Linked DNA regions of Bombyx mori. The protein of the gene in region 1 interacts with the protein of each later gene in a pairwise test. Links are inferred from orthologs where the notes say so. Each region holds a gene or a part of one and is shown in the gene's direction. Other genes may lie near its edges.

What was found.
Region 2: the proteins of Cdc2 (region 1) and cyclin 3 interact in binary tests that used the Drosophila melanogaster proteins (3 or more experiments, as listed by UniProt). The link is inferred for Bombyx mori from reciprocal best matches to the Drosophila melanogaster genes Cdk1 and CycB3.

What each region holds. Positions count from the first base shown.
Region 1 is NC_085122.1:10,038,598-10,055,681, reverse strand, and holds Cdc2 (cell division cycle 2), read left to right. Parts: upstream 1-5,644; 5' UTR 5,645-5,655; coding exon 5,656-5,804; intron 5,805-5,924; coding exon 5,925-6,069; intron 6,070-6,470; coding exon 6,471-6,605; intron 6,606-7,296; coding exon 7,297-7,406; intron 7,407-7,734; coding exon 7,735-7,848; intron 7,849-8,712; coding exon 8,713-8,815; intron 8,816-9,485; coding exon 9,486-9,689; 3' UTR 9,690-10,693; downstream 10,694-17,084. Other genes in the region: uncharacterized protein LOC110385314, read right to left, coding at 1-1,432, 1,857-2,110, 3,705-3,749; zinc finger protein 431, read right to left, coding at 11,956-12,069, 12,852-12,935, 13,417-13,485, 15,096-15,161, 16,840-17,034. UniProt on the Drosophila melanogaster protein: Plays a key role in the control of the eukaryotic cell cycle. Required for entry into S-phase and mitosis.
Region 2 is NC_085110.1:17,326,041-17,343,258, forward strand, and holds cyclin 3, read left to right. Parts: upstream 1-8,171; 5' UTR 8,172-8,348; intron 8,349-8,558; exon of another isoform or gene 8,559-8,560; 5' UTR 8,561-8,570; coding exon 8,571-8,870; intron 8,871-10,406; coding exon 10,407-10,678; intron 10,679-11,239; coding exon 11,240-11,456; intron 11,457-11,658; coding exon 11,659-11,910; intron 11,911-12,187; coding exon 12,188-12,343; intron 12,344-12,776; coding exon 12,777-12,951; intron 12,952-13,124; coding exon 13,125-13,288; 3' UTR 13,289-14,989; downstream 14,990-17,218. Other genes in the region: peroxisomal ATPase PEX1, read right to left, coding at 1,827-1,995, 2,803-2,956, 3,457-3,697, 4,735-5,839, 6,644-6,862, 7,337-7,429. UniProt on the Drosophila melanogaster protein: Cyclins are positive regulatory subunits of the cyclin-dependent kinases (CDKs), and thereby play an essential role in the control of the cell cycle, notably via their destruction during cell division.

The sequences.
Region 1 (17,084 bases):
GTGAACATTTTTTTCATTTCTGTTTATATATTTTGGAACAGTTTTCGACAATTTGTCTAAAACAACTGTTTTAATTTCAGTATTTTCTGGTATCATATCATTCTGGATGGAATCTTTTATATCTTCTTCGTGAAATATGTTACTAGTATTATGTTTGTTCGTTGTGTGACTATCGTTGACCCTTGTTCCTTTATTCCAATTAGAATGATCTCGATTTGGAGCCACTTGAAATAGTGTATTTAATAACTCCGTATTTAATATTTCTTCTGAATTTTGGGACCTGCTAAAATTTTCTGAACTAATTTCATTGCTATTAATAAATTTTTGAGCCTCTTCGTTTAAATTCTCAAATGAAGAGTCATTTAATAGTTTTCCCTCTGTGTCATTCATAGTGTCACTCTCATTAGAAAGATCCATTGTTTTATACTCATTAGTAGGCTGAGCGACTTCCTCTTCCTGCCTCTGCCTACTGCTCTGAACAGTATCTTCCTCTTCATTTTCAGTATCTTTGAAATCGATCCACTTCCGTTTATTGATATCGAATTTCAAACCATTGTTTGTTAAATCACTAAGAATTGATTTTCTATAATCTTGTTGTGAAGCTGAAATTTGTTTTAAATTCATTTTACCATTCATTTTATCAACTAACTGAATTCGCTTGGGAAGCTCTCTTAATATTAATGAATTATGAAATAAAGGGTTTTTATTCGCTGTTGCTTTTGTCATCTCTATTGATTCGAATTCATCTTGACTCCGCGCAACATTGGCATTTATGTCACTGGCTGCTAAATCTAAATCATTTTCGACGCCTTCAGCTTTTTTAATTTTCATCGACTCAATTATTTTTGTACTAAAATTACATTGTTCCTTGTTCAATGCTTCACTGTCGTCAGATTGATGAATAATAGACTGTCCTTGATCCTCGAAAAATTCAGTGCGATCTCGTTCTTGGTTTGTTAATGGAGATTTTAGCATGGGTGCTTTATTGGTAGTCTCTTCATTTCTTTCCAAAAATTTACTAGTGCTGACACCGTTTCCCACATTCAAAAGCTTTTTTTGCAAGAACGTTAGGCGTTCGACTTGAGGTAATCTTAAAATATCATTTAAACCAGAATATGTTTTCGATTGTATTTGCTTTTTGATTGTACTCCCAAGTGGGTCAAGATATTTAGATTCTTGAGAATTTTGAGAATCTAGTGTCTCTTCGGTATCTCGGTCGTCTACAGATCTCTGCGGTAGTATAATGGTTACAGTATTCAGTGCGCTTTCTTCTGGAACAGCGTCGTCATTAGCATTGGCTCTCGCAGCATCTCTAGCAAGTGCATCTTGGTATTCTTCTTCAGTAGCTTGACGCAGAGTCTCGAGAACAGATGAAGCTAGACCAACTTCTGGCTCTAGCAGATTCTTGGGGTCTTCTTTGGGATCCATTAGTCTAAACAAAAAAACTCACTGTTTGATCTAATCATTTGGAATATGTACCTAAAGGGACGATTCGATCATTAAAACTGATATATTTTGCTAACGAATCGAAAACACGCTCAGTACATTTTTGCAGATAATGAAGACATCCGTATAACTTACTTATAAATATACTACTTTATACTGGGGCTGAGAATTATTCTACTTGCAGCAAGCGGGTACAGACGAATTGTATATAAAAATACATTCAGTGACTGATTCTACCAAATACAAACGAAAACACAGCATTACGCTAATTTGGTCACAATTTATTCACTTGTTAGGTGCTTGTGTGAAGACAATGTATACACATTAATAAGCCAGAAATTTTCACACATATACGAATTGAACTATAGTTTTTTTTTCATAATCACTACAATTTTTCAGCATACTCTTACCTGGTGGCAGCTCCAGACCGCAGTGCAGTTGGGAAGATCATAGATGACGATCCTTCAGAATCCCTAGGTAGACATGGACATTCGTCATCGAGATTCGTTTTCAGAGAACCGTCTCCGGCAGTTTTTTCAAGCCTCCAACTGGTTTTTGAGGTTGAATCAGCATTTTCGGGGCAGGGACAGCAATCACTGATGTCCAATTGTCTTGACTGTCTTCCATCTTGAGTAGTCTCCGCTGTGATTGGTTGTAGTGAAACCTAAATATTGGATCATACGGATAACATATACTTTTGATATTCATAATTAAATCTCTTTTTTAGTAAACCTTTTTTCCGTGGTCGTCAGAGGACAGCATAAAATCACGGGTCAATTAAAAAAAATGTTTACGATAAATTTTTATGAAATCGTGTAGTAATTTACAATTTCAATTTCAATTTCAATTCAAAATTTCCATTTATTCTTTCCCTAAAAATCTTATTTGAAATTTTACGCACTTTTGATCATAACACAATGCCACATACGGTCAGTCCATGAAATACACATACCAAAACATACATAGTATTTCTTTGATTTGTTTTCAGGAAATCTAAATATGTATGTCGTTTAAAGCCCAATTGCCGAAGCGTCACTTTTATTTTTATTTTATTGCTTAGATGGGTGAACGAGCTCACAGCCCACCTGGTGTTAAATGGTTACTGGAGCCCATAGACAACTACAACGTAAATGCGTCACCCACCTTGAGATATAAGTTCTAAGGTCTCAGTTTAATTACAACGGCTGCCCCGCCCTTCAAACCGAAACGCATTACTGCTTCACGGCAGAATTAGGCAGGGCGGTGGTACCTACTCGTGCGGACTCACAAGCGGTCCTACCACCAGTAAAACTTTGCAAACTATTACTATATTACCTTTACCATTTGAATAGCACTTGGTGTATACGAATCACGTAACCTTTAGGTCATGTAGTCTAATTATTGTTAATGAGTTTTCTAAACGAGGCTGGATTATATAAAAGAAAGTCTAGCTACAAAGAAATGTGACAAATTAACTATTCTCAAATAAAACAATAACTAACTTAAGAAACAAAACGCAGCCAACTGGCACTAATAAATAATAATAATAATAAAATGGGAAATCGATCAATCAATCCAATCTTAGCAGTGTTTGTTATTGGTCCCCAAACTAGAATTTCCTACACAGTTTTAGACTTATTTTTTTACTTTTGTTTAAAGTCCATGTGTAAATATTATACACCCAAACAAAAATTTAAAAAACATGTAGAGCACACGAATGTTTGCCCGATGTGGGAATTGAACTCAGGACCCTCGGCCCAGCAGTCAATGTCGCTAACTGCACAGCCGTATCAACGAAGTGTTAGATATATTTATATCGCATTGGATAAAAACATTTACTCTACTCGCATTATTAAATAATAATTGTACGTACATAATCAACAGAATAATTAAGATAAATTAGTTATTTTAATTTTGAAAAATAAAATATATAAACTATAAGTTTAGGTTTATTGTAAAAACGTAATTTTAGTTTTAATTAAAGTTACTTATAAATAGAAAAGCTGTGTTAGCTCACCGCCAGTTGGCAGCGTTCCCAGAAGGCTGGCAGCATTTCCACGCTGGATAGCAATGCTAATTCTTTGTGCAAAATACGTACCGGCCTTCTGGTCTCCCGAGGCCTCAAATAGTTTTCATTATTCAAGAATTCGCATTTCATTAATCAAGAATCGAACAGGGAATTACGTCTGTACGAACTACGCCCAACACGATTCCTCTTAAGCCAGGCTGAATATTCTTCCAGCAGTACATGCTACTTAAAATTTTTTTAAAAAACTCACCCTTCCTATCACGAGAACATTGGTTACCAGCACAAACCGCCACATTGTCCACACGGGCTGACATTAGTGAATAATATCGAATTATCAACTCCATCGCCTATATTATATTCATATTGATAAAAATACATGTGTAATGTCACGCTTGGCCGTACATACGTGATTTGAAAATATGCTGAGCTAAACAGTATATAGTTTATCAATTTAACGTTATCTAGATTATTGACCCACAAGTTAAAGTATGTAATATAAATCGCCGTGTTCTATTGTAAATAATATAGTGCATATTATTGATTCTCAGAAATTTGACTGCATGATGTTAATGCGTTTTAGCGGTAGGCAGTGGCTTGGCTCTGCCCCTGGCATTGCTGAAGTCCATGGGCGACGGTAACCACTCACCATCAGGTGGGCCGTATGCTCGTCTGCCTACAAGGGCAATAAAGAAAAACTTTAAATAAATGGGTTCAACGTACAATGGGCATTGTCAGAGTATTTTAATGCTTTTATTAACAGCATTTCGTGATTGTGTACCGGTCTTTATGCATTGCTTGTATTTTATGACATAGAGCCGGTACGGGAGTTTCCACCATATTACTTGTTTCTGCTGCAAAACAATAATGCGCTCAAGGGCAAAAGTTTACATAGAGTTCAATTGAGAAACAGATTAAATTATCTGTAGAATTTGAGTATGATGAATTGCTCTCATTACCTCTCTCTGGCCGAAATCTTGGACCTTATTTTACCTTAACCCTTAAACTTTAAGGGTTAAATCAGACGGCATTTTAATAAAAGCAGTCGCGATCGGGAATCGAATAAAATTAAATCCGATATCAGTCTGGAAATACCAAAATCGGTTCAAATTTGTAGGTACCTAAAACAATTATACGACTAGCATTTTTAGAATTCAAAACAATAAAAGATTCTCATTTATTACTTTAAAGTACAGACTGTCGCTACAATAATGGCGGATATGAATGAAACACGGATATCGAGCAACGATTATTGGATATTTTGAAATCAGACTACCTAGTTAAGATATAAAATGTTATGCGATCCAATAAAAACATAAAACACGTTTGAGGTCTTAAAATGAGAGAAATGAGAAAAAAACGCGTTTATCGCGGATATAAAACAAGCTATAGCAAAAAAAATCTAAGCCTAATGTGATGCCTCGAAAAAAAGATCGATTGTGACTATTTATGACCTTAAATCAGATTGAAAACCATAAACAGTTATATTTAGTTAAGCTTTGTTTTCCACACATTAGGGTACCAACAGATTCATTTCTAGTGTTGCACGACGAAAACTACTGTAAAAATAATGTATCGTTGCTTTCCTGTGTAACTCTTAACAAAATAAATAAATTAATTAAACTAATATTTATATTTTACTTTGAAATGATTCAGTTTGCATTATTTAAAATAGACTAATGCTTACAACGTATGTATGTACGTCTTGCTTTTCAAATTAATCTCTCTTTGTTTGTCTATGATAATGTGTTCCGATACCATTCATAAAACATCAAGCTTTTTGATATGCATTTTTAGTGTTCTAGTACTATCTCATTCTAGCAACAACAATTTTGTCTATTGAAGTAGCACATTTATGCTATTCTAAGCGTTATTTAACTCTGAAACAAGTTAGTCATAAACAAAGCATAGACACATAAATTGACATAAATAGTCCACTTCGAAAATTTTCAAAAAGTTTTCGTTTGAAAGACGTTGAAGGGATAAACGTTAGAGATTGTAAAATAGTAAAACATTTAAAATATTTCCTAAAAAGAACAGAAGTGACTTGAATTAAGGATTACAGTCAAATGTTGAGACATTTATGAATTTAAAACACATAAAAATTATTAAAACACGCATTTTGTAGGAGTAAGAAAAATTGCATGGTGTTGTGATTTTTTTGTTGTGGTCTGCATAAAACCGCCAAAATTCCTTACTACAAGATGGATGATTTCTTAAAGATAGAAAAGATCGGCGAAGGTACTTACGGTGTCGTTTACAAAGGAAAAAACAAAATAACTGGTCAATTTGTAGCCATGAAAAAAATTCGCTTGGAGTCCGAAGACGAAGGCATACCATCCACGGCAATAAGGTAAACGACGTAAAATTGAATGAATTACTTGCACAAAAACAATTATATTAATTAAAAACACATTCTCATGCATTTGAGAACATAACCTATATTAACCAGAACTTCTTGAAAACATTTCAGAGAAATATCTCTACTTAAAGAACTGAACCACCCTAATATTGTCAAGTTGGAGGATGTCCTGATGGAAGAGTCGCGACTTTACTTAATCTTCGAATTCCTCTCTATGGACTTGAAGAAATATATGGACTCCCTTGGTTCTGGAAAGGTAACATAACCATGCCTTAAATTAAATTTTACAACAAACTATGACGCCTGTTTGAAGTGTGTCCACAATCATATAAATTGTAGTACAATGCTTAAAATATAAAAAATTGTTAATTAGGACTAGTTGCATCTTTGGAGTTTTTATTTCTGAAAAAAAAAAACTTTTTTGTTTAAATAAACTGCGAAGGTCTCCTGAGATAATGCGTCAGCAGTTGACCATGGCTGGGATTTGCCTCTAGAATTGCTGATTTCCGCAAGACCTAGATACAACTCACCATCAGGTGGGCCATCTATAAATGCAATAAATAAGTCACACAAGACAAGGCAAAGTAATTCTTAATGTTAAATTTTGTAACAGAGTAAATTTTTGTAAAAATATTGGTTATCATTATTTATTTTCAGTTCATGGACCCATCTGTAGTTAAGAGCTATCTATATCAAATCAACAATGCCATCTTGTACTGTCACCAACGACGGATCCTGCATCGAGATCTCAAACCACAGAACCTACTCATCGACAAGACTGGAATCATTAAAGTGAGAGTATTTTATGGTGATATTAATAATTGCAAAAAGATATTAAAAAGTGCTAAACAGTGAGTCTTGGGACCAGCAAGAACCCTCTCGATAATTCTAGACTACTGACAGCCTTTTTATCGTTTTAAAAAAAGTTGTAAATCAAAACCAGTAACATGAAACTATGGACGCTATATAGACCATGTATATTGGTGTTGATACTGACTGAACAGTGTCAGTGCTATTACTATAGGTCAATGTGAAGGCCTTTTTTTTCTACCTAACCTGATAGCCTTGAGAGGCTATATCAGCGTAACCTTAACTAATAGGTGAGCTCACGGGGCTCAAACCTGATGACGTTGCTAACACGAACCCTAGCAAGAGCCGTGCTTCGCAGAATCTACCACTGGATCAGAAACGCGACCCACTGAGAAGATCCGGCGAGAAACTCAGTGGGCTGTGTCTGAGGGTTAATTTACTCGTCGAGCCCTTCGTCGCAAGCGACGGGTTCGACGAGAACGATGATCGGTGCTTGAGGTACCTAAAAGTACTGTTAGTGGATCGGGAGGATCCGAAATGACGTGTGTGAAGGCCATGTCATAGTATATTTGTTCAAAATATAGTTTTACCAGTTTGAAAAGTCAAACACTGACATTAGACAATGGTCATATAGTTTTATTTTCTTCATAAATACCTAATAAATTTGTGACAGGTTGCAGATTTTGGTCTTGGTCGAGCATTCGGTGTTCCAGTGCGGGTCTACACACATGAAGTTGTCACATTGTGGTACAGGGCTCCTGAGGTCTTACTAGGAAGTCAAAGGTAAAATCTTATCCAAATCAGTCAAAACCAGCCACTACAAACTCCAATATAACTTTTCTATAATGAGTAATCAATACACATTAGTTGTAATTTGGCCCAATAATGAAATGTATTTTAGAAAAAACATTTTGTTTTAAGAGCTTTAGACTTTGTTTTCTAAAAAATGGCAAGTTGCATTGTAAATTCATAGAATAGTGTGGCAATACATTGCCACTAATTGTTTCTTAATACAAAAGAATGGTCAGTGACCGTGTGGAGTTCATTATTTGGTAGATTATTTATTTATTTATTATTTATTTTGTATAATAGTAACTTGTCTTACTTTTAGATACTCTTGTCCAATTGATATATGGTCAGTTGGCTGTATATTCTCTGAGATGTCATCAAAGAAGCCACTGTTTCAAGGAGACTCTGAAATTGATCAACTCTTCCGCATTTTCAGGTGAGTAGGCATTTCGCCATTTTAGTGGTAGGCTTTGGCTATGTATTTCTGAGGTCCATGAGCAACGGTGACCACTTACTGTGATGCTTGTCTGCCTTAGATTTATTAGAGTTAAATCTTAACAACAATAATTGAAAAAAAAAAGTTTTTTATGCTCCCTTCAACAATGGAATGTAACTGGTGCTTAGAATAAAACTCTAGTTTTGGATTAAAACACAGATTGAACACTAACTAAAATATGATGTGGACATTCAAGTTTTGGTTGTTTTTTTTGGGTGTGCAATTACTACAACAACACTTATATAACAGTTAATAAATTTTAAAAAAACCTGTTGTTGGGGTAATTAAATTATAATAATACTATTTCAACTTGATTGAGTGATTTCCTTCCAATAAAAGAATGAATATAATGAAATGTTTGACTTACATTTACAGGGCAGTAAATATGATTATAAATATGTAATTTTGAAGTATGTAGAAAGAAATAGAAGACTAGTTTACATATTGTTAGCCTCTAAAACTTCTGTTTATCCATTCCATTCCCGGATGTACCTCCACTTTCTTGCGACCTTGCTTATACCTGATATTAGCTTAAATAAAACAAACTATATGTGTAAATTCAAATCAATAAAGTGTGAAATTCTGAACAGATAGATTTGCTCCATGCATAATTTCCAATGAAATGGAGATACATGAATGAACTAAACTTCTAATATGGGATTTGTGACTCCCAATTTTTTTTGAGTTAATTTTTCTGACTCATTTTCCAATTTCGTTTATGATCAATGTATATGGTATCTGCTGGAGTACACTTTTTCTTATTAGTAACTATTTAAATCACAAGATCTCTTAATTTATTAACAGAATGCTAAGAACGCCAACAGAAGAGATATGGCCTGGTGTTTCTCTCCTACCAGACTACAAGCCAACCTTCCCGAACTGGAACACGTACAATCTGCACAATCATGTACGTATGAAGCATATTTTATTTTAGATTTTTATATGTCTATTGTTCTTGAGATATTTCCAGATATATGAAAAACTAATTGAATTCTATTACATAATGAGTGACACTACTCCAGCTAGCCAAGATATTCCCTTGGGATTTTAGTGAAAGTTTATTTTAGCAGAACCAGCTGTTAAAAGTTTTGTGTGTGTGTGTGTGTGTGTGTTGTATAATGTTTTTTTAATATATTTATTCTGGACTTTGATGTCCTGTTTCTGTCGTGAAGCACTTATGCGTTCCAGTTTGTAAGATGGGACAGCTCTTATGTGATTTATATTGAAACTTCGACCTCATATCAAAACTATCTTTCTTCACTTTCTTTATCGCTCAGACTTGTGATTGAGCATGTGGCCCACCTATAATAACGGTAACGGAATCTAATAAACAGCATTTATTCATGTCATTAACGACACAAATGCCGCCACCCATCTTGGAACATAAGTTCTGAGTCCCAGTTTTACAGTACAATAGTTGTCTCGTCATTCAAACCAGAATACGTTACTGCTCGTGCGGACTTACAAGACTCCCCAACACCATTTAAGCTATATTATATTATACTAGTTATTATCAATGACGTGACTGAGTTAAATCTTTTCTTCCTACCGTCAATTGTAACGTGCATTTTTTACAGGTACAAAACCTAGACGAAGTGGGCATGGATTTGTTACAAAAGATGTTAGTCTACGATCCGGTTAAAAGAATATCCGCGAAGGACGCGCGACGACACAAGTACTTTAGAGACGTGAAACTACCTCCCGGACTGACAGTGCACGACGCTTACATCAGAGTGACGCCAGAATACCCATACGACACGGATTCTGTTCAAAGTGTATAGGAGACACGAATCATTAGAACTAGGTGTCATTTATAAAGACTACAAATATATTTTCAGAACGAATACAAAGTACAACTCAGTTGGGCTCCTCTGTCGCAATCATTGCATTTTAATTTGAGAGATTTGAGGTATGTTCTCTATACTGTATTCTCCACAATTCGCATCCAATCTCCTTATAGTAGAACCTTAATATTTAAATGTACTTTATTTTATCGAATTTGATCTAAAAATTAAATTAGTCAATTCAGATTATTGAAAAACTAAGACTAGTAAACGCGAGACGTAATTTAGTTAAAGCTTTGAACTTAAATAATTTACGTAAAGGCTTTTTAATGAATTTGTGTGTCTGTGAAGTTGGGATTTTAAACCGTCGAGAATAAATGAATAGATGTGAGTTATTTTAAAGCTATTTCGGCGAAGAGCTTAATTTTTAAATCAAGTCACTAGGTTTTAAATAGTGACCATAGAAAATTATTGTTTGATTATTATAGAAAAACGTGTCATAGTTTGTTCGAAGTTGTACAAACCTTCATAGTTTTAACTTTGAATGTTGGTTTCGTTCATTACCTTAACACTAATTTGAGAATTATTGATAGTTAATTAACCTTGAATAAATTAATTCTCGTTGTCTAATCGTGTCGTGTATACATCTTTGTGTCGTTTTGTCATGTTCGACTTATGTTATAGGATAGTATTTAATTATTTCTTCTGTAATAATATTACTGCCAAATAGTTGTCTTCATTGAACTGTTTAATAAGTTTTTACGAACGCTGAAATGCTTAATAACCTCAGACACCAAAGGCTAAAGCAGTAAACTTAGTGCATAAAAAACTAACCACAATAGTTTAATTATCATTACAAACTAACTTTGGATTTGGATAAGGGTTCCTTTCGACTAAAATACCTGTTTAATAATATATAAAACTTGCAGTATTATCATTCACGCCTTCAAAGAAATATTCTGGAGCTTGTGATGATCATAATAGTTTGTTAAATATAGTTTGATATGCGGCAAATGTGATTTATAGGATTATAAGTCCCATTCGAATAAAATCATTTTTGAAAATTATTATTTTTCAAACTATTCGCTGTGCAAACTCCCGGCGTATCAAACTGTTTTCAACAAACTATAGGACTCTGAACGGTTTTTACATACATTTATTAGTAATGCATTTGGAGATAAGTTTAACTATATTGTTCTGTATGCTGTTGAAACATCGTGTGACATGAGAAGTATTTTATATGTATTTTCATGGAAACTTAATTAATTTAAACTTAATTATCTGTCCAATTCATGTTCTTCATACACTATTATGTCATCTAAATAAATAAATACATAAGATCAATAGGTTGTACTGCAAATATTTCTTTAGTATAACAGAATTATAAATTGAAATTGTTTTAAATCTCTTCAATTAATATCTAATACCAACAACGTGTTTCTTTTTCTTCTAAAATAATTGTAAACAGTTTGTTTTTAATAGTAAAGCATAATTATTTATTTAATTGATATATATATATTACATGTTTGACGTGTGGGTGTTTTAATAAATAATATGAAAAAAGACGTTTTGATAAACTTTTGACAAGAAACAAATGTAATATTATTTTCTTAAGTTTTTGCCAATTTCTCTGGACCGCTCATAAGTTAATTTTATTTTTAATTATATGTAATGGAATGTGTATTTGATTGATAATATTTTTAAGCATTGTCTTAATTTGTAAAGTATAATAATAATTTTAATATAACTGTGTTGTTTTACTGAAACAAGAAAGTTAATTGACAATTCGTTTATTTTTTTCTAATAGAGCTATGATCAAAATTGTACATAAAATATACAGAAGAAACACTAAAGCTAAGTCATATGCTATCACCTCCTGAAAACTATTACAATATAAAACCTAATTATTATTCTGGTATTAAATAATTTACTACTGTAAAAGAAAACGTTTGATTATTATAATAATACAACAATATCGACTTTGAAAATAAAATTTAAGAAACAAAAAAATAAATACAACTAACAAATATGGGTAGCAGTACTTTAACATATGTACTTTCATTGCTTTTAAAATCCTACAATTATTATTATAATAATAAGTATTTAATTTTATTTACAGATCTATAAAAATCAACAACAAATTCTGATAAAGCTACTTATATAAAGTATGCACCGCAGACTATATTTAATTGACAGGAAAAGTACGAATAAAAATCGATTAAAATATCACCTCAAAATTTCAATCGATTATTCGATTTTATTATTAGTGATGTATGAACACGTGAGGGTGTCCCGGTTGAGGCTGCAGTATGATGCGATGCGGCACGTTGATCTCCTGCTGGCCCAGGCCCGACACCGCCACCGTCCCCGGCTGGAGCTGTTCATACAATCACAGTATACTGATACTGGTGGAGGGACCTTTTGTGAGTCCGCACGGGTAGGTACCACCGCCCGGCCTATTTCTGCCGTGAAGCAGTATTGCGTTTCGGTTTTAAGGGTGGGGCAGCCGTTGTAACTATACTGAAACCTTAGAACTTATATTTCAAGGTGGGTGGCGCATTTACGTTGTAGATGTCTATGGGCTCCAGTAACCACTTAATATCAGGTGGGCTGTGAGCTCGTCCAACCATATAAGCTATAAAAAAAATCTCTGTACTGCTAACTAATCTAAAGTGTAGGACGAAGTAATTAAAATTTAGACCAATTGTTTCACGTTGAAGTGTCCTGATATGTTTTTAGACAATATAAATAATCGACTATTAAATATTTAATTTCTTAGGAAAATTAATTAAAAATCAACATATGTCCTTTTTATATTCCTAAAACAATCATATGGTTGTGATGAGACTTAATACAGTTATTTTTTTCTACCTATTCTAGTGACTTCGAGGGGTCATACTATTATGACCGAGTACTAGTATGAGTTCACGGGGCTCTAATCTGAGGACGTTGCTAACACTGACCCTAGCAAGAGCAGTGCTTCACAGAAACTACCACCGGATCGGAAACGCGACCCACAGAGTTATTGTCTGCACACCAAGGCACTGTCTTAGCACTATCACTATGTAACGAGTGGGCTCATATAATCGGCGATGGTCTGCCCGTAATGAGTTTCACTTGAGAAATAATTAAACAAAGTGCCTATTAAGGTTTGTTTACCTGTAGAATGTTCGGGAGCATCGTTTGACAGGAAGAAGTGGCGACGTGAAGCTGTTGTTGTTGCACTTGTTGCACGCCGACCGCCTAAACAAAATTTTGAGTCTCTTAAACATTGTTGTTTCAAAAGCTTGAGGTTTTTACTGGTGGTAGGACCTCTTGTGAGTCCGCGCGGGTGGGTACCACCACCCTGCCTGTTTCTGCCGTGAAGCAGTAAGGCGTTTCGGTTTGAAGGGTGGGGCAGCCGTTGTAACTATACTAAGACCTTAGAACGTATATCTCAAGGTGGGTGGCGCATTTACGTTGTAGATGTCTATGGGCTCCAGTAACTGCTTAACACCAGGTGGGCTGTGTGCTCGTCCACCCAAAAATGCAATAAAAAATGTAGATCATCCTCATTACAAAATATACTGCATTCATGAAAACTGCGATAAGCTCGCCTTGTGCATTCTCATGCATAATAATCAATTAAACGGTTATTTATCAAGAACGGCCCACTGACAACAGTGTCGCAGCTATCTGACCGCAACAAAAGCCTCATCATATCTCTGAGATCAACAACACGTACATGTATCTGGATGGGTTGATGCGACGGATGGATCTGGATGGTCTGCACTTGCAGCTGCTGCGGCTGTTGCTGGAACAAAAGTGATCACCGTGCTATATATACTGTCAGTCGACAACCACTCGCACGACGATTTAACACTAATCATACCAACCATACCAACACTTACTGGTATCTATTTCTACCATAGCGGGTAGATAACGGTATACAACAAGTTTTACTCAAAATAAACAAAACAAAACAAAAAGAAATAGCATAATATTATAACAGTAGATTAACGGGTAAGAAAAAAGTCATGAAGTCAAATGTGCAAAAGCAATAATGTGCACAACTTCAAAATGGGTCCTTTGAGCCGTTACGGTATGATTAGTGTTAATGTTTAACTTAAAAATAATATTTTCGGAATCTATATTTAATAGTATAAAGAGGAAAGATTTGTTTGTTTGCTTGTATTGAATAGGCTCCGAAATTGCTGAACCGATATGAAAAATTCTTACACTGCTTGGAAGCTACACTATCCCCGAGTGACATAGGCTATATTCTCTTCTTTTTTTTTAATTAGCGATCATTACTAAAACTCCAGTACTGTAACCCAAGGTGTAAAAAAATTATTAGGTGTAAAAATATATGTTATTTAAATGAAAATAACAAATTCATTAAAATAATAATAATATTCAAACCATCTTTATATTTTTTTATTTTATTTTTAAAAACCTAACGCAAATATAAGGGTTAATGTGTGTGTACGAGTATTATAATTTTTTATTTTGAAATTTTTGTTAAAGACCCGAGCGAAGCCGGAGCGGGCCGTTAGTGTAATATATTTAACATCTCCTAGTGCCTGCCTAGCTTGATATTATATATCCTGTATACTACCAAAACATTATAAGTCGAAGCCTCCAATGAACACTACTCTAACTAAAAATTTTGTAATTGTCGTTTTTCACGCAAATCGCTTCATTATGTTAAAATTATTACAATTAATCATTATTGATGGGGTTCGAAGCAAGAGTAAATCAGGTAGTTACACAAAAAAACCATAAATATATCTGCAATAATAAAGATTTTATCAACTCTTTTCGTTTAAACGCTCCTCCTGTAAATCTACGAATTTGGAGTTAGCGTAGTGTTCATTGGAGGCATCGAAGTGTTTTTTTAAAATAAGTGTGATTAACATATTTATTTCGGAATACAAATTTCCAGTTAATATGGTGGTAAATAACAAACCACAATTATTCTATTTTTTTGTTGCCTTCGTTTAAGCACATGAGCATACGGCCCACCTGATAATAACTGATGATTTCACTCATAGACTCTATTAATCAATGCTATAAGCATAAGCAAGCTTCTGTTTGATATTATTTTTAAATGTTTTTTTTTCACATTAATTTTGCACATGTAATTTTGCTTGTTTTTATTTATTGCTTAGACGACTAGAACGAGGTCACCACCCTCCTGGTGTATGTACTGGCTGGTGGAGTCCACAGTCATCACGAGGCATGAGGTCGGCGTCTCAACTGTATTCCATAACGTCTGTCTCACGCTTCCAACAGCAGCACCTACCCGTGCACAATACGCTCTACCACCACTGACTACACTCTGACTACTACACATTGGTATCGTCATGGGTTTAACGGTAACGTTATGAGCACTTATGATCCTGATCTAGATAAAATAATAACCTGTTGACTCTGTTGTAGCTGTAGCGACTGCACCGTCGATATCACCGGATATGAGTGTTGCCCGTTCTGTGTGAACACAAAAATATATTTCAACGGTTATTTTTTTTTTACTGCTTTGATGGGTGAACGAGCTCACAGCCCACCTGGTGTTAAGTGCTTACTGGAGCCCATAGACATCTGCAACGTAAATGTGACACCTAAATCTCAGTATAGTTATAACGGCTGCCCCACCCTTCAAGCCGAAACGCGTTACTGCTTCACGGCAGAAATAGGTAGGGTGGTGGTACCTACCCGCGCGGACTCACAAGAGGTCCTACCAACAGTAAAAAAGTAGTTTAATTTGATGGTCTAGTTGGGACAACAAGACATTGTCCATCGGAAATTAAGTCGGATAGGATACTACGGCGCAGCGGAGTCAACGCAGCATCAATCGTGTTTGACTGGCAACCACTTGGCAGGAGAAGACCTGGTCGCTCTGTACACACTTGGTGACACCGTGAAGTCAGATGAGGACTGCCGACGTGACCTGGAGTGATGTCAAGGAGCAAGCACAAGACAGGGTCAAGTGGAGACAACTTGTGATGGTCATATGTACCAGCGGGGTACCCTAGGACTACAACAACAACAGTTGGGACAGTGGAGTGTGTGCAGTGTACTCGTACGCACGCACTTGGATGTAAGTGTATTCGTACGCAGAATGTAAAGAATTATATTTACTGAAGAGGCTGGCTCAAAAAAATAATAATTAAAAGGCACGCTTTTTGATGCAATTGATCATGTAAGATCTTCATTAGTACCGCTGCGATGTCAAAATCGATGAAACAAAAATGACACTCAAAGAGCGACATTAAGAAGGGATAAAGATGTATATATTTTCTATAATGTATTATCTATAGTACACCGCAACATACCTGCTATATTTTTTTATATTTTCCAGAATTTCTATAAATTAAACGGTTGTCTGGAAGAGATCGCTTTTAGCGATAAGACCGCCTATTGTACAAATGTATCTGCTTTTTTTGATTGTTTTTTGAATGTAAATTGTGTTTTGGTGTGCAATAAAGTGTATTCTCTCTCTCTCTCTAAAGATGTGTTGCATGTATTTAAATGATTTCATAAAATAATAATTAATTTGTACGTTGAAATGACAATCGATTCGGCTTTGTATATACCGACTGCGAGGGAGCAAGCTACTCCACAATGTATAAGGACAAGCACACGCGGTATCGGCGCTCGCCAGTTACTCAACTGGTCGACTTACTGCAAAAAGCTTGCGCTTTTTTCCCCCTACCTAAGCTGACGGTCTTGAGTGACCACTTCAGCGTAGCCTTAACTAGTAGGTGAACTCACATGGCTCAAACCTGACGTTGTTGCTAACACGAACCCTAGCAAGAGTAGTGCTTCGCAGAATCTACCGCCGGATCGGAAACGCGACCCACTGAGAAGATCCCGCGAGAAACTCAGTGGACTGCGTCTGTGGGTTAATTTACTCGTCGAGCCCTTCGTCGCAAGCGACGATTTCGACGAGAACGACGACCGGTGCTTGTGGTGCCTAAAAGCACCGTTAGTGGATCGAGAGGATCCGTAAAGACATATTGGCAACGTCGACTGTTTACCATTTTCTGTTATGATATTTCTTCCAAATCATACACTTTGCCTCTCCTGTAAAGTTACAAAATTTTCGCTCGAACCAATGCTCCTCGATATGTCATTTATATATATAGATTTAAGTGGGGGGGTCGACCTGCACGATGCCCTGCTGCACGTGGTGCGCGTGTATCGGCACCGCCAGCTGCTGCACGCCGCCCACCTGCAGCACCTGCTGCTGCGGAACCGCCGCCTGCTGCACCGCCTGCTGTTGTTGTTGCTGCTGTTGTTGTTGTTGTTGTTGCTGCTGTTGTTGTTGTTGCTGTTGTTGTTGTGTTGGCGGTGATTGTTGCTGTATTCCAAATTATTAATATCACTGATTGTGTAGAACTTATAAGACTG
Region 2 (17,218 bases), on another chromosome or scaffold:
TCTCATCACATCTCCCAAACGCGAACTTCTCAGCTTCTTTGTCACAGGTGCCACTTTACAACTTCCTCCAACATATGTATATCCGAAAGTTTCTACGACTTGCCTAATTCCGAAGAAAATACTAAAAAATCATGAAAGCTAGGCCATGTTACGATTTCCGAACTGTTAATTAATTACAACGTGTCGAAGGGTGAAATGATATTTGCTATAAGCGACATTTATTTTACTTTTTATTGCTTAGATGTTTGGACGAGCTCACAGTCCACCTGATGTTAAATGGTTGCTGGAGCCCATAGACATCTAGAATATAAATGCGCCACCCACCTTGAGATATAAGTTCTAAGGTCTCAGTATAGTTACAACGGCTACCCCATCCTTCAAACCGAAACGCATTACTGCTTCACGGCAGAAATAAGCGGGGTGGTGGTACCTACCCGTGCGGACTCACAACAGGTCCTACCACCACCAGTCAATACACGACATATTTTATTTTAGTAATTATGCTAAAAGTCCCTTTCATTTGGTATCAACATCAACAGTTCGATCAATTCGACAACAATCAACAAATTAAAGAGCGGACGGTTAGCGTGGCATGGACATGTGATGCGTAGAGAGGAGATGCATATGACTAAGAGATGTATGGAAATGGTAATGCAACGTAGAGAGGGGGAAGAGGTCGACCGAAGAAGACATGGATGGAGTGTGTGAATGACGATATGAGAGAGAGAGAGAGAGAGGAGTGAGTGTTGAGATGAAGGCTGATAGAAAATAATGGAAGAGAAAAATTAGCTGAGCCGACCCCACCTAGTGGGATAAGGTGGAGAAAAAGAAGAAGTTCGATGTTTTTAATTGAACTTCATTTAACTGTACTCCATTCAAATAGTTGAACTAGTATTTTTGTTACGATATTTTTCCAAATTTTAAACTTTAAATTACTCTCTTCTAAAGTCGCAAAAAATGTCGCTTAAACCAAATAGCCTTACACCCCTCAATATTATATTCATACATTTAATATAGATTTTTTTTTTCTGACATTGAAAATTAAATTAAAATATTTAATTTTAAAACTATGCACATAATGACTACATGGACAACGCAAAGGATTTTTCTGTTCCAGTTTTGTTCGTATTTCACGCAATACCGCATGACGAATCCGCGACCGATGATATCATAAATGCAGTTTTTACGTGAGCAAAAATAACCGAAGTCTCAACAAAAACACAGTTAATTATTTTTTTAACACGATTTAACATATTAATAATAATATTGTGGCGGGTAGCCATCACAGTACACAAGATATTTGACAGATGCCTGAATCTCGCTTACGACATTTTCAAGATAAGCTTGCATATACTGGGTATTAGGAGAACCGCTTTCGAAAACGAAAACAGACGATAGTACTAATGACACTTTTGATGATGGGACGGAAAAAAAATCGATCCTGATTTAAAAAAAAAAACATACTTTTAAAATGCTTTATTAGCATTACTTACACTCCATCATGTTAGTACAGCTAAATGAAACGACAGTTTCATAAAAAATACATTACTTTACTTTTTACAAAAAACCAGCAATGAAACACAAAAACACAAACAGCTGATGCTCGGGTCAACGAACGCCCGGGCGCGGCGCTGATACCGCGCTCCCCAAAATTTACAACTTTGTAGGTAGGTACAAAACTTTCGTTTTCGGAAACAGTCTCTTAACAACCAGTATACAAATTCCGAACAACAACATTCGGACCGTCGGTCTACCGAGCAAATCCCACCAGCTCGGTGGAAGATCTTCTCATTCGTTGTAAACCTCCACAATATAATTACACTTACTTTTCATCTTGACGGCTTTAAATATCTTCTTATTGAAGTGGTCGATGATGTCCCGCACTGTGCACGAGGCGGTGTCCATGGCCAACGTGATGACGTCATCGTCCGCTACCTCGAACTGCTGACGGATCTTCTCGTTCATCAAATGCTTGAACAGCTCCACTCTTTCATCCTGAAAATAAATTGTTTTGTGGTTCGAATGGGTGGACGAGCTCACAGCCCACCTGGTGTTAAGTGGTTACTGGAGCCCATAGACATTTACAACGTAAATGCGCTACCCACCTTGAAATATAAGTTCTAAGGTCTCAGTATAGTTACAACGGCTGCCCCGCCCTTCAAACCGAAACACATTAGGTACTGCTTCACGGCAGAAATAGGTAGGGCGTGGTACCTACCTGTGCGGACTCACAAAAGGTTATCACACCAGTAATCACAACGTCCAAACATTATTGCTTCGCGGCAGAAATAAGTAAAATTGTGATACCTTCCCGTGGGATTTCACAAGACGACCCATCGCCGCTAATTATTACCCACATTTTATTTTTACGGGTTTCATATTCATTGGAAGTGGAGCCTCATCTTATTTTTTAGAATTTGGAATTTTCACTGGTGGTAAGACATCTTGTGAGTCCGCGCGGGTAGGTAACCACCACCCTGCCTATTTCTGCCGTGAAGCAGTAATGCGTTTCGGTTTGAAGGGTGGGGCAGCCGTTGTAACTATACTTGAGACCTTTTAGAACTTATATCTCAAGGTGGGTGGCGCATTTACGCCGTGAATGTCTATGGGCACCAGTAACCATTTAATATCAGGTGGGCTGTGAGCTCGTCCACCCATTTAAGCAATAAAAAAAAACTGTTTGAAGGCGTCATTAGGCGTCATTACTATTATGAAAAAGGTAAAAAGTGTGACGTCATCATCATCGCCCCCATCCTATCCGTGAACACGTCGAACACAACATGTCGTCGTCTACTGTCTCACCTGTTCAACTTCAGGTATATCGAAGTGCGCCGTGAACAGCGGCTTCCCGTTGAACTGCCTGAGGACCGGGTGCAGGGACTTCATTGAGAGTGACGTCATCAGCACGCACACACCCGCGCACGTCTGCAGGAGGTGCTTGATGACCACGGCTAATCTAATAACGGAATAACATTGTACATAAGATGGTTTCTCCCCACGTTCTGAGATATGGACTATTTTTTTTATTGCCATATAGGCGGATGAGCATACGGCCCACCTGATGGTGAGTGGGTATCGTCACTCATGGACATCAGCAATGCTAAGGGCAGAGCTAAGCCGCTGCCTACCGTTTGATACCCTTCACAGGCCTCGTCTGAAGAAGGACATGTCACGGCGCTCGGGAAACACCGTGGAGGGGAGCTCATTCCAAAGCCGGATTGTACGTGGCAAAAAAATCTCTGGAAACGCACTATGGATGAACGCAGTGGCTCCAGGTAGTATGGATGAACTCTACTCCGATGGCGGGCGGTGCGATGGTAAAAATGAGATGATGGTATCATCTCAAACAATTCCTCCCCATGGAACATACGGTACAAAATTCAGAAGGAACCTAAGTCCTTCCGCAGACTCAGAGGTTCCAAACGATCCGTGAGAATAGGATGAACTAACATTTACCTCTGATAATACGCTATATCCTGGGGCGAAACTCCCTCCATATCGGGCGGTACCATGGAGTCCACGTCGTCGCAGATCAATACAGCCGGACTGTGCTCTTGGCACATGAGGATAGCTTTGCCCAGGATCTCCGGTATATCCTTACGGCCCCTGAGCGCCCTGCAGTGCAACGTATGAGACCAGACCGTCAGCTCCTTCTCGATTATGTGACACAACGATGTTTTACCCATACCACTGGACCCTGTCAACAAGTCGTCACATTCTAACACAAGCTCTTGCCTAGTTATTAATAAACAAGGTACAACTAAATTTTGTTTAAATTGTTTTTGAAGTGAAACTTCTATAGACGCGTTGAGAGTAAAATTTAACTCGCGACAGATTCGTTACGGCCAGAGAGAAAAGATACAATTTATGAAGAGCGAGAGTGAGAGAATAGAAAGAGCGTCTCGCGAACCACTCTACCGTGTAGAGAGAAAGTACAAAGCGAGCTAGGTCGTTTCTTGCCTTTGTAGGTAGACGAGCATACGGCCCACCTGATGGAAAGTGGTTACCGTCGCTCATGGACGTCAAAGTCATGAACGTCAATGCAATGCAGTCTTTTATACACAGCTTTCGCTATTACAAGAGATATTAATTTAGGGATGAAAAATGAAGAAAACCATAATACTAAACACCGCAAAAGAAGGTTCACTTCTTTCATGTGCACCAAGTTGTACGCGCACCATTTTTATTGATTTCAACAAGATAGTTAGGCCCGATATCCATAATATATCTCAACTTAAAAAAGACTTATCTCTTGTCGTTGATGGATTAATTGCATAATTTTCATATCAGAACGCATAATTAGAACCGAACTAGCTAGGAATTTAATTGAACTAGGAATTTAATGATTTTCATAATCATTATGAGCTTAGTTAAGAAAATTAGTGAAGTTACTTCATCTTGGAGAGGCTAAAAGAGATACACTGATAGCAGTATACCAATTTCTGCATACCAGTTTCTTCTGAAAATCAGTCCGATAGACTATTATCACGCAAACTCCTCTGACTCTGTGCCTGTGCTACGGATAATCGAGCTCTCTGGTACCAGAGTTCATTGCCATCAAAACGTGAATTGTCATTTTTGAAACAACAAGCTAAAGTCACGGATGTTGCCCGGCAAAAATAAGAATCTTACTGTCTAATGACGGTCCCACCCTTCAAAGCTTATAGCTTATACCTTACTGAGCTAGTATACCAGGTGTAAAACTATTAATTGACGTTAAAAAACTACACTTGCCCGTGATCAGAACGTTGCTTTTAATCTCTGATGCATTTTTAAACGTCGCCTCTCTATGTATTTCGAAATACAAATGCGAGAGAACTTTACTGATCAAAGTCTCTATTGATTTCAATGTCCTGCAATAGTTCTTGAAATCATACTCCATGCGGGAGGCGCTGCGTTTCGGCAGGACTAAATCCGTGTCGTTAAGGCACGTTGCCTTCGTAGTGAAATGCCTCAAACTCTCCGAATCCAAGAGGGTATATTTCAAACCGTCTGGTTTCAAATTGAACCGCAAATAACCATCGCTTATCTGACTATTCTGCTTAACTATGCCGTTATTTATTAAAAATCTTTTGCCTGAATGCGTGTTCTCTATGACGCATTTCTTGAATCTGTCTATAACATCGACTTCTGTTTGTTTTTCTTCTGTATACGTCACCAATTCAATGTGCACAGGTTGCTCTACCGTATCCCCGATTATGTTGAATATAATTCTCGTTCCATTCTCAATGTTGATAATGGCATTCAACGATTTCGGTATCAACACTGTCGGTATGTTTCTGTTGTACACTTCGCGGCTCAAGCTCCTGTATATGATACCGTCTATGGGCACAATTTCAACGCACAAATCGTTTATGGCGTTATTATTGTTCTCTTTATCGTCTTCATCAGTTTCGCTCAGAATCGAAGGAATAGAATTCATGGTCGATAATATAACAGTTAAATTTTTGAAGCATTCGTCTATTAAATCTTCATGTATGAAAACCGTGTAAGGATGTATCAAATTCTTTTTGCCGTCGCTGTCTATAGGTACCGAACGCAATACAAGCCTCTTTGGTGAGTTCAAATATGGACGAAGCATCTCTTCGTTTATTAAGCCTATATTTTTAAAAGGGCCATTGGGTTCGTTTGGCGCTGGAGGTTTTGTTTGGAAGCCTTGGTAGCTATTGAACGCGTTAACTTTAACGACTACGCGGCTCTGGTTCACTAGCAAGCCGGTCTGCTTCGGCGTGAAAACGATGGGCATCGATGAAAATATCCACACGACGCATTTTTGATGTGCCGCCACATATCGAAGCTGATCTAGTATTCGTAGCTGCAGTAATTCCGCATTGTGTTCCTGAATAATCAATCAATAAAAACATTAAGATATTCATTGTCAAGTCAATATTTTTTATATATATGTATTATAAATGTAAAAGTGTGTTTGTTTGTTGTCCTTCTTTCGAAGAGAAGCAAGGGATTGACATTAATTAAAAAAAAAAAATCATAGTATTAAGGCAAGGCAAGGCAAGAAAATGAAATATATAAAATGACAGACGTAATGCCTTGTAACATTGGACCAACATCACATTGACACATTTCCTTGACCATACGGCCGAAGCCTCGAGTAACAGCTAATATGCTTATAATTGTGAAGATGAGGATATTCATATCAAACTTTTCGAGCTCACACATAAACACTATAAATACATGGGAAAAAAATGACGTTCACTACTAATTATATTACAGATTCGTATTGCAGACGAGGCAAAAGCCCATCTAGTGTTGCGTGGTTAGTGAAGGCCATTGACATCAAAACGTGAATGCCGCCACGAATGCTTCAAAATTGTAAAGACACTTCCACCCTTCCAACTGTAACGCACAACTGCTTCATCATGGAAATGGGCAGGATGGTAGTACCAATCGATCAGTACGTACTTACACGCCTAACAACAAACAAAGTAATATGTTCACAAGAATTTTTTTACAGTAACATGCTGGCTGAATTATTTATCTACTAAATTATTCAATTTCTATTATTTGAAAATCTTTAAGATAGATACTTCACATTGAACAAACAAAAAAATATATAGCGAAAAAGTTTATCATTTATTTCTTTTTCATTGTTACTTCCACACCATCAAAACCTTAAAGATCTTACCAACAACTCCTGGTCATCAGGGCTGTCCGTATCTATATACAATTCATCCAGCACTCGCACATCACCGTATGGTGAGACAAACACATCAGCTCCCTCATCTAAGCCAATCAGTTGACTATGCACTGGATTGCAAGCTATTTGTCCTTCCGCAACACCACTGCTGTACACCACCCATAAAAACAGGTGCTTGTCTTTGTATAGAACTTGAAGGCACTGAGACTGTAAAAGATCTTTTTTTAATTCTCATGTCATAAATTTATAAGAAAATAAAAAAACAAAAACAGATTAGATTTGATTTTAGGGTACAGTATATAGGCTATATGACTCATCATTACACATTTTAAAAGGATCTACATTTGTAACTGTTCGCCAGTATGACTGTATTTATATATCTAATAAATGTTCTATTTGAATATTAAAACAATTTATTCTTTATTAAATCTAAATAATAGCATGTCTACAAACTACATAAAAAATTGAAATATTTTCAGAAAATCTTTTTTTTATAATTTTTAAACAGGGTTTATTTCTTAATGGGATCAATGACCATTTCACATATTATAATGCCAATTAAGCCAATGATAAACAAATTAATAACCTAAAAGTGAAATCTTTGTATTGATGCATTGTAATAAAATAAACCTCCTGTCTATCCAACATTTCATTATTTAAATTTTAATTGTTTTTCTTTACCTGTTCATTATTACTACTGTACTTTGGACTTATATATGCGAAGCAAGTTTTTTCGTGAGTAAACACTACTTTTAGTTTAGCACCTCCTAACATAATGAAATCAACATTCACTCTTTATTAATCTTATATTTCAATGCTCTTATGTGTAATTTGACATAATAATTTAATGTTTTTAAATTAACGATATAAATATTTAGGCAGTATCTTTGATAAATTTATGTAGGTCTAGACATAGATTATACACTTAATATAATTGAGAGGTCTAGACTTTACATGACAGACTTTTTGTTATCATAATCATTGACGTTCCAGCTTCAAAAAAAAATTCGATATCTTTAGCATACAGCAATGAAATTTAGCAAATAAATGCTGTTTACTTCTGCTTTCAAATATCTATAGTGTAAGCTTTCATACCACGTGCAATTTAAAAAGTATTGTAAAGTATAATGTTAAGCAAAACATCTCATTATGTTTCACACTTCACACTCTAAATGACTCAAAACGGCTGAGAGGAATAATTCGTCTATGTCTATGCAGTCTCTGACATGCTAAAAATGTTTATAATTTTCCAACCCACATTTAATGTCAGTCTAAAATTCCATTCCATTATTCTCAACTTTGTTAAGATACACATCACATTACATTTTCGTTTACATTACTCAAACACAAAGTATGATATTTTATTTCTAAAATTAAACAAAGAGTTTTTTTGTAGAATACGCCACTCTTGAGAACTTCTACAGGGTAGCTTTTATTAAGTCGGCAATTATGGGAAAAATTTACGTTAGTTTCACCTTCGTAAATCGGAACGTAGCTCTTGCAAAATCTATACTCTATTGGCTAGGCCATTAACCAATTAAAATTCAAAGCAGCTCAACGGTTTTTAAAGACGTATCTGTCGTGTCGTTGTTAAAATCTTTAGAATTTATGAAAAGTTTGCTCTAAATTCTCAGCTAGGAACCTAAAATTGTTTAATCAACATCTATAATATAACGGCTCGTGCCGTTAAAAGGTGAGTAGAAAATAGTCGTTAGAAAACCGTTTAACGCTGTGTAGACTTCGCTTGTTTTGCCTCCATTTTAGTCGTTAAACATGATAATTTTTAAATGCTTGTTTATGTTTTTACTTTATACTTCTTGTACACTTTATAAATGAACTACCTACTGAGTTAGATAGTACGTTTGTACAGCACGTGATTGTGAATCGTCTTCTTTATTATCACAGTAGGTCCGTAATGGCGCCAACAAGATTGGCAACGAAACCGCTCGGCGTCAACGAGAACCTGAACGGCATGTTAAGCCACGGCATTACGACGAGGAGTAAACAGCTAGCTTCTCTAAAGAGTCACAAGGACAGTCTAAAAATTCCCAATAAAAGGAAAGCGGACAGTCCTCTTAAAGATGTGACTGCGAAGAGGGCGGCGTTCGGAGATATAACGAACGCCTATAACAAATCGTGCGCGCCCCAGGACAAGGATAAAGCCATGCCAGTGAAGAAAGTCACTGTTGAGACCAAAATGCTTCCAGCAGTAAAGGTTTGTTGAACTCCAGAAACACTTCTATTCAGAGGGTATCTGCTTCCTTTCTGTATGTTAATATAAACTGATCAAGATTTACGTTTATAATACCTAAATAAAATTCTAAAGTTATTTCCCTCCAAATTTAAACAGGAGCATACTATTACCTTACAATATTATTTACAGCTGTTTGAATCATAAACAACTTCTTATTAATATGTTTTCTCCATATGATCATGTTAGTTGTTCATTACAGATTTAAAAATATTTTAACCTTATGTATTGCTTGTAGTTTTAACAGATTTTGAATAAATAATAAGCCTTGATTTAATTAGTTATACAATGGAAACAGTAGTTATAAAAGTAAGTCATAAGTAAGAATTTTTATCACACATGGCATTTTTATGATAAACTGGAAGATTAGGGATAAGTAAAGTTATTTCAAATCCACAATAACTAATCATTGATAGGCTTCATAGTCATAAAAAAGAAGATAGATACATAGTTTGAAGTGGTTTACTTGGTAAATATACAAATTCACCAGAAATGAAACTAACAATATTATCCATAAAACATTGTAAAATTGGTGTAACTTGCAATCTAATAATCAATATGGGTAATACCATACCTTCTACATCCATGGACAGATCAACTGCTTGACTGACCTATAATTATTGTGAATTATATTTTTCTTCTACAAATTAACTAATCAAATATTCTAAACATCCATAACTGGATGTCTGCCTATGTAAGTATGTATATAATATCATGGCTTTTATTATTTGTATCTAGGTGACAGAGGTGAAAGCCCTTCCTGTGTTAAGTGGTTATAAGAACACATTACTGTGTGAATACTGTTATTCATATTGAAACATAAGACCAAAGTCTTGGATTATATAATGGCTGATCCATCCTTAAAACTGAAATGAATGATTATATTTTATTGATTAATATGATTATATTTTTATTGATCAATATGAAGGCCTACCACAAATAAGCAGGACAGTTATACCTGCCGTTATGCCTTCACAACACTAACGTAGTACTAAAGGATTTTTTCATTCATTTCATAATCACACTATTGCTCTTTTTACTTAACTAAAGTAATGACTGAATTGAATGAAATGTTTGAAGAAATTGATTTTTAATTGGAATAGTTTAATAAACCTCATGAAATTCAAATGTGAACTGAATTTCTGTTAATATTGAATTAATTATAAAAACTGACCACTGAAATTCATTTTTTAATTACTATTTATTTAAAATGATACTTTTCATTAAGCTTCTTTCTTTTAAATAATGTCAATATTATTTAATACAAATAGTTATACAAAATATAATACAGATTAATTCATATTGAATTAGTCTGTTAATTAGCACCCTAAACTTAATGGGAAGAACCAATTTTCTTTTTTTATTGAGTGATGAATACATGGTAATTGTTTTGAGACGAGCAAGAGTACATAGCCAGTAGGCAACAACAAAGTTAGCTGTTCTGTGTAGTTTCACTTCTTTGATCTCTTAAATTGAACTTCCAAACTACAAATGTTTCAGAGCATCAAATCACAAACAAGCACACTAAATGGCAAAACTTCAAAGACCAAACAACTCCAGCGGGTAGCCAATAATGCTATTGATGCAGTACAGAAACATTTCACCAAAGACCCACCCAAGCAAGTGGCCACAAGAGCTCAGAATGGCATCCTGAAGAATTTTGAAAGGAAAGACAAACTCAAAGAGCAGAATCTGAGTAATGGTTCAGTCAAATCTGCAAGAAGTGATGTTTCCGGTGAACCCTCACTTTATATGACTGCCTTGGAGAATATGTAAGTACAAGTAGGTAGTTAAAAAGTAAATAGTATTTGAAACATATTCGAAAATTAAAAATTATTTTAACTCCACATTTTAATTCAAAGCCATGAGATATTGAGCTCCGTTCAAAATTCTCCAATTTAGCTAATCAGGAGTTTAGTATAAATCAATAACCAACCCCTACATGATCAAATAGGCAGACATGATTAGGTGGTATACCAGTCATTTATTATTAACCTATGCATATCCATTATATGCCACTTACTCTTGTTATTAATTGATCATGCATTACAATTTGAGGAGTAGGTAGCTTATTTGTCAACCAACTCTAGATATTTGCTGTCAAGTGACTCCAACCACCCATAAAACCTCAAGGGTACAAAAATGATCACCTTCATCATGATAGATTTAATTGATGACAGATAATGAACATGATAAATGAAATAGTTTACTGACAATTCAAAATTTATAAAAAAAATTAACACCTTATTTTTATAATGTTTAAAAACAAGGCGAATAAACATCACACCGATGGTATTTTTGTCTTCCATAAGCCACATTAACCTCTTTTTCAGTAGCCCATCTGAGGTAACTAAAGAAGAGTACAAACAAATCAGTGAGAAACTGAACAAAGTAAACTTGGATGACACATCTAGGTCTTTGGATGAAGAAACAGAGACCCCTCATAAAACTCCTTCTGGTGTTCTTGACTTTGACTTTGAGAATTGGAATGATCCACTCCAAGTATCTCATTATGCTATGGACATATTTAATTATTTGAAAAACAGGGAGGTGAGTTGTGGTTTTACATGGTTTTACATTTAAACTTTTTTTTATTTTCCAAATATCATTGGTTAATAAAGTATAATTTATTTCATTTTTATTTTAAATGAATTCTGATATATTAAGGTATTATTCATGCATTTACTACTCTTTATAACTGTTACTCCAGACAACAGTTGTTGTGTAATAAAATGAAATTAATTTCTTTCAGCGCCTTTTCCCTATTGACGATTACCTGAAACGTATGAATGGAATTACATCGTGGATGAGAGCGCTACTTGTAGACTGGATGGTTGAAGTTCAAGAGAGTTTTGAACTCAATCATGAGACCCTGTATTTGGCTGTGAAGCTAGTTGACTTGTTCCTTACTCGTTCAACTAAGAATGAACAAATAGAACAACTGACAAAGGAGGAATTGCAACTATTAGGAGCATCTGCCTTGTTTATAGCTTCTAAGTTTGATGTGAGTAGTTTTGTGCTCAATGTTTGTAAAAAAAGAGTAACAATAGATGCACAACACACCATTGTTTATATTATTGTGATTAAAACTTAAATTTATGGTATTAAGGTATGTGATGATCAAATTATGCCCTTCCTATTTCTGCTGTGAAACAATTGTAAAGGTTTAATATTAAATCTAGGAGAAGCAGATAATTTCAAACTTAAGCTCACAAATATTTTAACTGTGCATGCAAGTCAAAGCAACGTGTTGTCCAATCAGTCAAATAATGTACTTGTAGGAGCGCATTCCGCCCCTAGTGGACGACTTCCTGTACATCTGCGACGGGGCATATACGCTGAGCCAACTGCTTAAAATGGAGATGACTATTCTCCGGGTCATCGACTTCGATCTCGGCGTGCCGCTCTCCTACCGGTTCCTCAGGAGATACGCCCGGGTGAGAAACTGGGCTTGTTAGAATACAGATTTTTTTTTAGATAGTATTGTCTTACGTCGCCCATGTTAACACCTCTAAAAAAGAAAATTTCACAATATTATTACAAGACTGAAAAACTGTGTTGAACCACCGAATTTGAATTTGTGACACAAGTCTCGTTTTAGTACCACTGGTTAGTGAAACTGAAAAGCAACATTGTCTTATTATAATTGTGCACACATGTAAACACATTTAGTGTATTTTTTTGTATTATTTTGTGCCATACTGTATTGCCTAAGTAGTTTTAGTAGTATGACTCAAACACAGTACACAGTCTGATATATATACTACTAGACCATCACTATTATATTAAAACATTTCATATTCATTTGAAGAAAAAAAAAACACTATTTTCGTCAACAGAACATCATAATGTCAATTTAATTTTCAACAGTGTGCTCGTGTATCAATGCCTACACTAACACTGGCTCGGTTTGTGTTAGAACAATGCTTGTTGGAATATGGACTTATTGAAAATTCAGACAGTAAAATGGCTGCTGCTGCACTGTACCTTGCTCTCAGGATGAAGAATCTAGGTTCATGGACACCCACTCTACAGTATTATACAGGTAAATAAAGAAAACAATCAAGAGTATGTAATAATCAGACAGTTCATACAAAATTTTCAATGAAATTATACTGTTACTATAAGAATATAATTTCTATTTTTTAATAGAAAATAATTCAGAATAAATCATTCTATGTTCGAAAATAAATATAATGTACCTTTTATATTTTTCAGGTTACAACCTCAAAGAAATTCTCCCGATTGCATTAGCCCAGAATGCAGTTCTACACAAGAAGCCAAAGTCTGCGATTAGCACAGTTAGGAATAAATACTCACATACAATATTTTTCGAAGTTGCCAAAGTACCCCTAATAGACGAGGCGACGCTCACTAGCTGAGGAATAAGTACCAGGAATGTTGTATAAAGTTTAGTACTAGGGTATGTACTTAAGTTTTGATAGTTAGTTATACATGTAATCGTTAACAAAGCTGTTAGCCTAGTCGCCAAGATCAAGTTCTTCAACTACTAACTCTATCAGTTTCGGTATCTAGATTAGAAATTCCCTATACGCGTTCTCCTAAACCTAGCAGAGAATGTATACGACTAGGCTTGCTTTTACTAAATTTTACTGTCATAATTTGAAAATTATAGCTATGAAATTCAAATAAATATCTTCCTAGATAAACTTGCTTCGTCATCTGTAACACTACCAGTAAGCATTTATGTTATTATTAAATTGTCGAAGCCCTAGAGGGTAAAAGAAACAGGAGCGCCTGCCAAGAAATTGTTGCTCTCTTGAAAGTATTGTTCATACATATCTCTAGACTATGGTGTTTTGTACCAGTGTATTTGTTTGATGTGAAGACTGAAATATAATGTGACATAGCAGAGATGATATAAATTATATCTGGATACTAAGAGAATGTATTCTTACTTCTGTTAAGAAATAAAACGAAAATGAGTGAAGTTAAGTCATATTAATGATTCGGATTTTTTCTGCTAAAAATCAGTACCATTGGGAAATGTTAACCAAGAGTGTGCCATAATAGGCAAATGAAAGTCACAGAATCCTCTTCAACTATGGAGTTGATTACGGAACTAAAAGTTTCAAATATTGTTTAATTTGTATTTAAAAGAAAAACCAAAATCAGTAACCTCAAATAACATTTTGTACCAAAAATATCCAAATCAGATTCCATCTATTTTACAGTACTGTTTTTGATTAACTTGCTTTTGTTTAACAACAGTCTTCCTATAGAAAATTATAGGTAGTAAGTTTTGATAAAACTAGTTAATTATTTATTGTTTTATAATTCTCTCCGTACAGTCAATAATAAAAAAATCTTTAAATCAAAATTTATTATTCTTCAAACAATTTTAATGTTTTAACAGTACATTGAATGTACTTGTTGCTTCGAAAAATTTTAATTGGCTCGTTATTAACTAAAATTGAATATGATTTTGTTATTGATTGTACTTCATGTGCATTTTTAGAATTGCAAATGGTATTTTTTGGATTTGGTTTATCAGTAAGTTACGCTTAGACGTTTAGTATAATGATGCCTACTTAAAATACCTGAATAACTGATATGTGTAGGCTTAAAATATATTTTTAAAAGGTTAATTAAACATATTTAGAAAAAAAACGAAATTTATTACATAAAATTAGTAACTAAGTAGCCTCAATTTATTTAGTTAAAGAAGGATTGTATGCTAATCAGGACTATAGAATTGAATGAAAGCTTCAACGCAATTTTATACAAATGCAATTTTAGCGGATTTGCTAATATAATTTTCAATTTAAATTGTTATTAGAATGGATTTTGTAACATTTTTAATATTAATTAATTTTACATTATTTGTAGTTATTTGTGAGATTCACTTTCCACTGTCTTACGTTTATTATTATTTTTGTAATTTATCACGATTTTAGAGTACAAAATATTGGAATGTTAATAATGTTGTTCTTTTAATACTAAGTTTTTAGATGTAACTTTGAATACTGTTTTTTTTTCTCTTGATAGTATCTGTGCTCTAGTTATATACATGATTAATGTGAACCTACTGACTTGTAAATAAAAACGATTTTGGTTTGGTATTTTTATTTTTTTATTTATACTCCGTTTTTCAAAAAATAATAAAAGTTTTTTTTAATACATATAACAGAGAACAAGCAGTCATCTGACCCAAATTAAGATTCCCTGCGTTATGGGTAAATATTTACATATACTTAGTCTGGCCATAAATACTGTTACAATTAAAGATTAAAAAAATTCTATTGCAAATAACATTTATTACTTTTACAGTGTGTTAGTTTAATACATAAATATAAAACAATTTAAAGTATAAAAAGCTTCGAAGTAGTCTCCATTGGCTGCAATACAGTCCTTTAAACGTTGAGGCCAGTTATCAATAGAAGCACGCACTCTTTCCATGGGAAAATTTTTCACTGCCAATCGTACGGATTGTTTTATAGACTCCAAATTATCATGGCGTTTAGAGCAAGTCGTACTCTCTAAAACTGACCATAAATCATAATCCAGCGGATTAAGTTCGGGACTAGACGACGGCCAGTCTTCAGCTCTGATGAACTCCGAAACTTTCGTTTCCAACCACGATTGCGTAGACTGAGCTTTATGACCTAGCGCCGAGTCTTGCTGGAAGGACCATTCTTGATTATTGAACATGGTGTTGTTAAGGGGCTTCACTACCTTCTCAAGAACGGTATCTTGATACACTTATGCCGATGTTTTGATACCTTTTTCACAAAAGTATGGCTCAGTCACTCCTTCATAGCTAATACCCCACCAAACCATCACTGAAGTCGGATAGTGCCCACGTTGCACTCTGTCGACTAATTGGGAAGCTTCCTTAGAGCTTTGAGCATAAATACGGTCATTTTGTTTGTTAAAATCCTGCTCAAGTGTAAAAATTTTCTTATCCGTAAACAAAAAATTTCTATGACCTCCCTTTGCGTACCGCTTCAGTAGTTGTTTCGATTTTACCACCCTATTCTCTTTTAAATTATCAGTTAAGAAATGACCAGTATGTCTCTTATAGGCTGCAAGTCCTAAGTCATCTTTTAAAATACGCGACATGGTTCTAGGTGCTATCTTCATCTCCCGATATAGAATCTTTTGCTTTCGGACAGGATTTCTTTGAATTCTTTCCCTTACTGCTTTGACCACCTTTTTCGTACGAACACTACGTGGACGGCCAATCTTTTTCTGTCACAAACAGAGGAGGTCTCATTGCACCTATTAATAGCCCGGTACACAAACATTTTACTAATACCAAGCGTATGGAGAGTTTTAAAAATTGCGTTTGGCTCCATACCTACTTTGTGTAATGCAATCACAGCGATTCGGTTCTCTTTATCACCCCACTCCATTTTAATATCGCAAAATATTGTACAATGTATTGGCCCCAAAATGAGAAAACTCAATGAGCAATCATATAAAAATGACAGATTCCAAATTCAAACGTAATATTTTGTTCATTTTTAATTGTAACAGTATTTATGGCCAGACTAAGTATATATAGGTAGATACTAAACACCCAGGCAAAGAGCAAACAAACCTGTTCTTCACACAATGCCCTAAGTAGGAACCGAACTGGTGGAAGAGACCTCTTGTGAGTCCGCACGGGTAGGTACCACCGCCCTGCCTATTTCTGCCGTGAAGCAGTAATGCGTTTCGGTTTGAAGGGCGGGGCAGTTGTAACTATACTGAGACCTTATAACTTATATCTCAAGGTGGGCGGCGGCATTTACGTTGTAGATTTCTATGGGCTCCAGTAACCACTTAACACCAGGTGGACTGTGAGCTCTTGCACCTATATACGCCGTAAAAACCGTGACCGGTGCTTGAAGAGCTCAAAAGCACCCATAGTGGTTCCGGAATCCGATAAGACATGTTTTGGGCGACAGCGGCTTTGCTCTGCCCCGTCGTCTGGGTCGGATATGTAAAAATTGTGTTTTGATGACTAAATATCAGAAGGATCACGTTTCAATAGAATTTTTATTTTAAGAATATTAGATGTAAAACATTCTTAACTGCACCATATTATAATAATAGATTTATAACGAAATAATACTACAAAAAATATTGCATGTGATTTAATCACGTCTGAAAACAAATTTTCATTTTCAAATTTTTGCGTTCGTACACACTCCCAATTCATTATACATACAAAAATTACAAAATATCTATTCACATGTTCACATCACTACTATCATCGTGTTTACAGGATGTTACAAATTCCACGCGCAACTATAATACTGGTCGACAAAAACGATACAAAATCGCTTAAAATATTGGAAGACAGA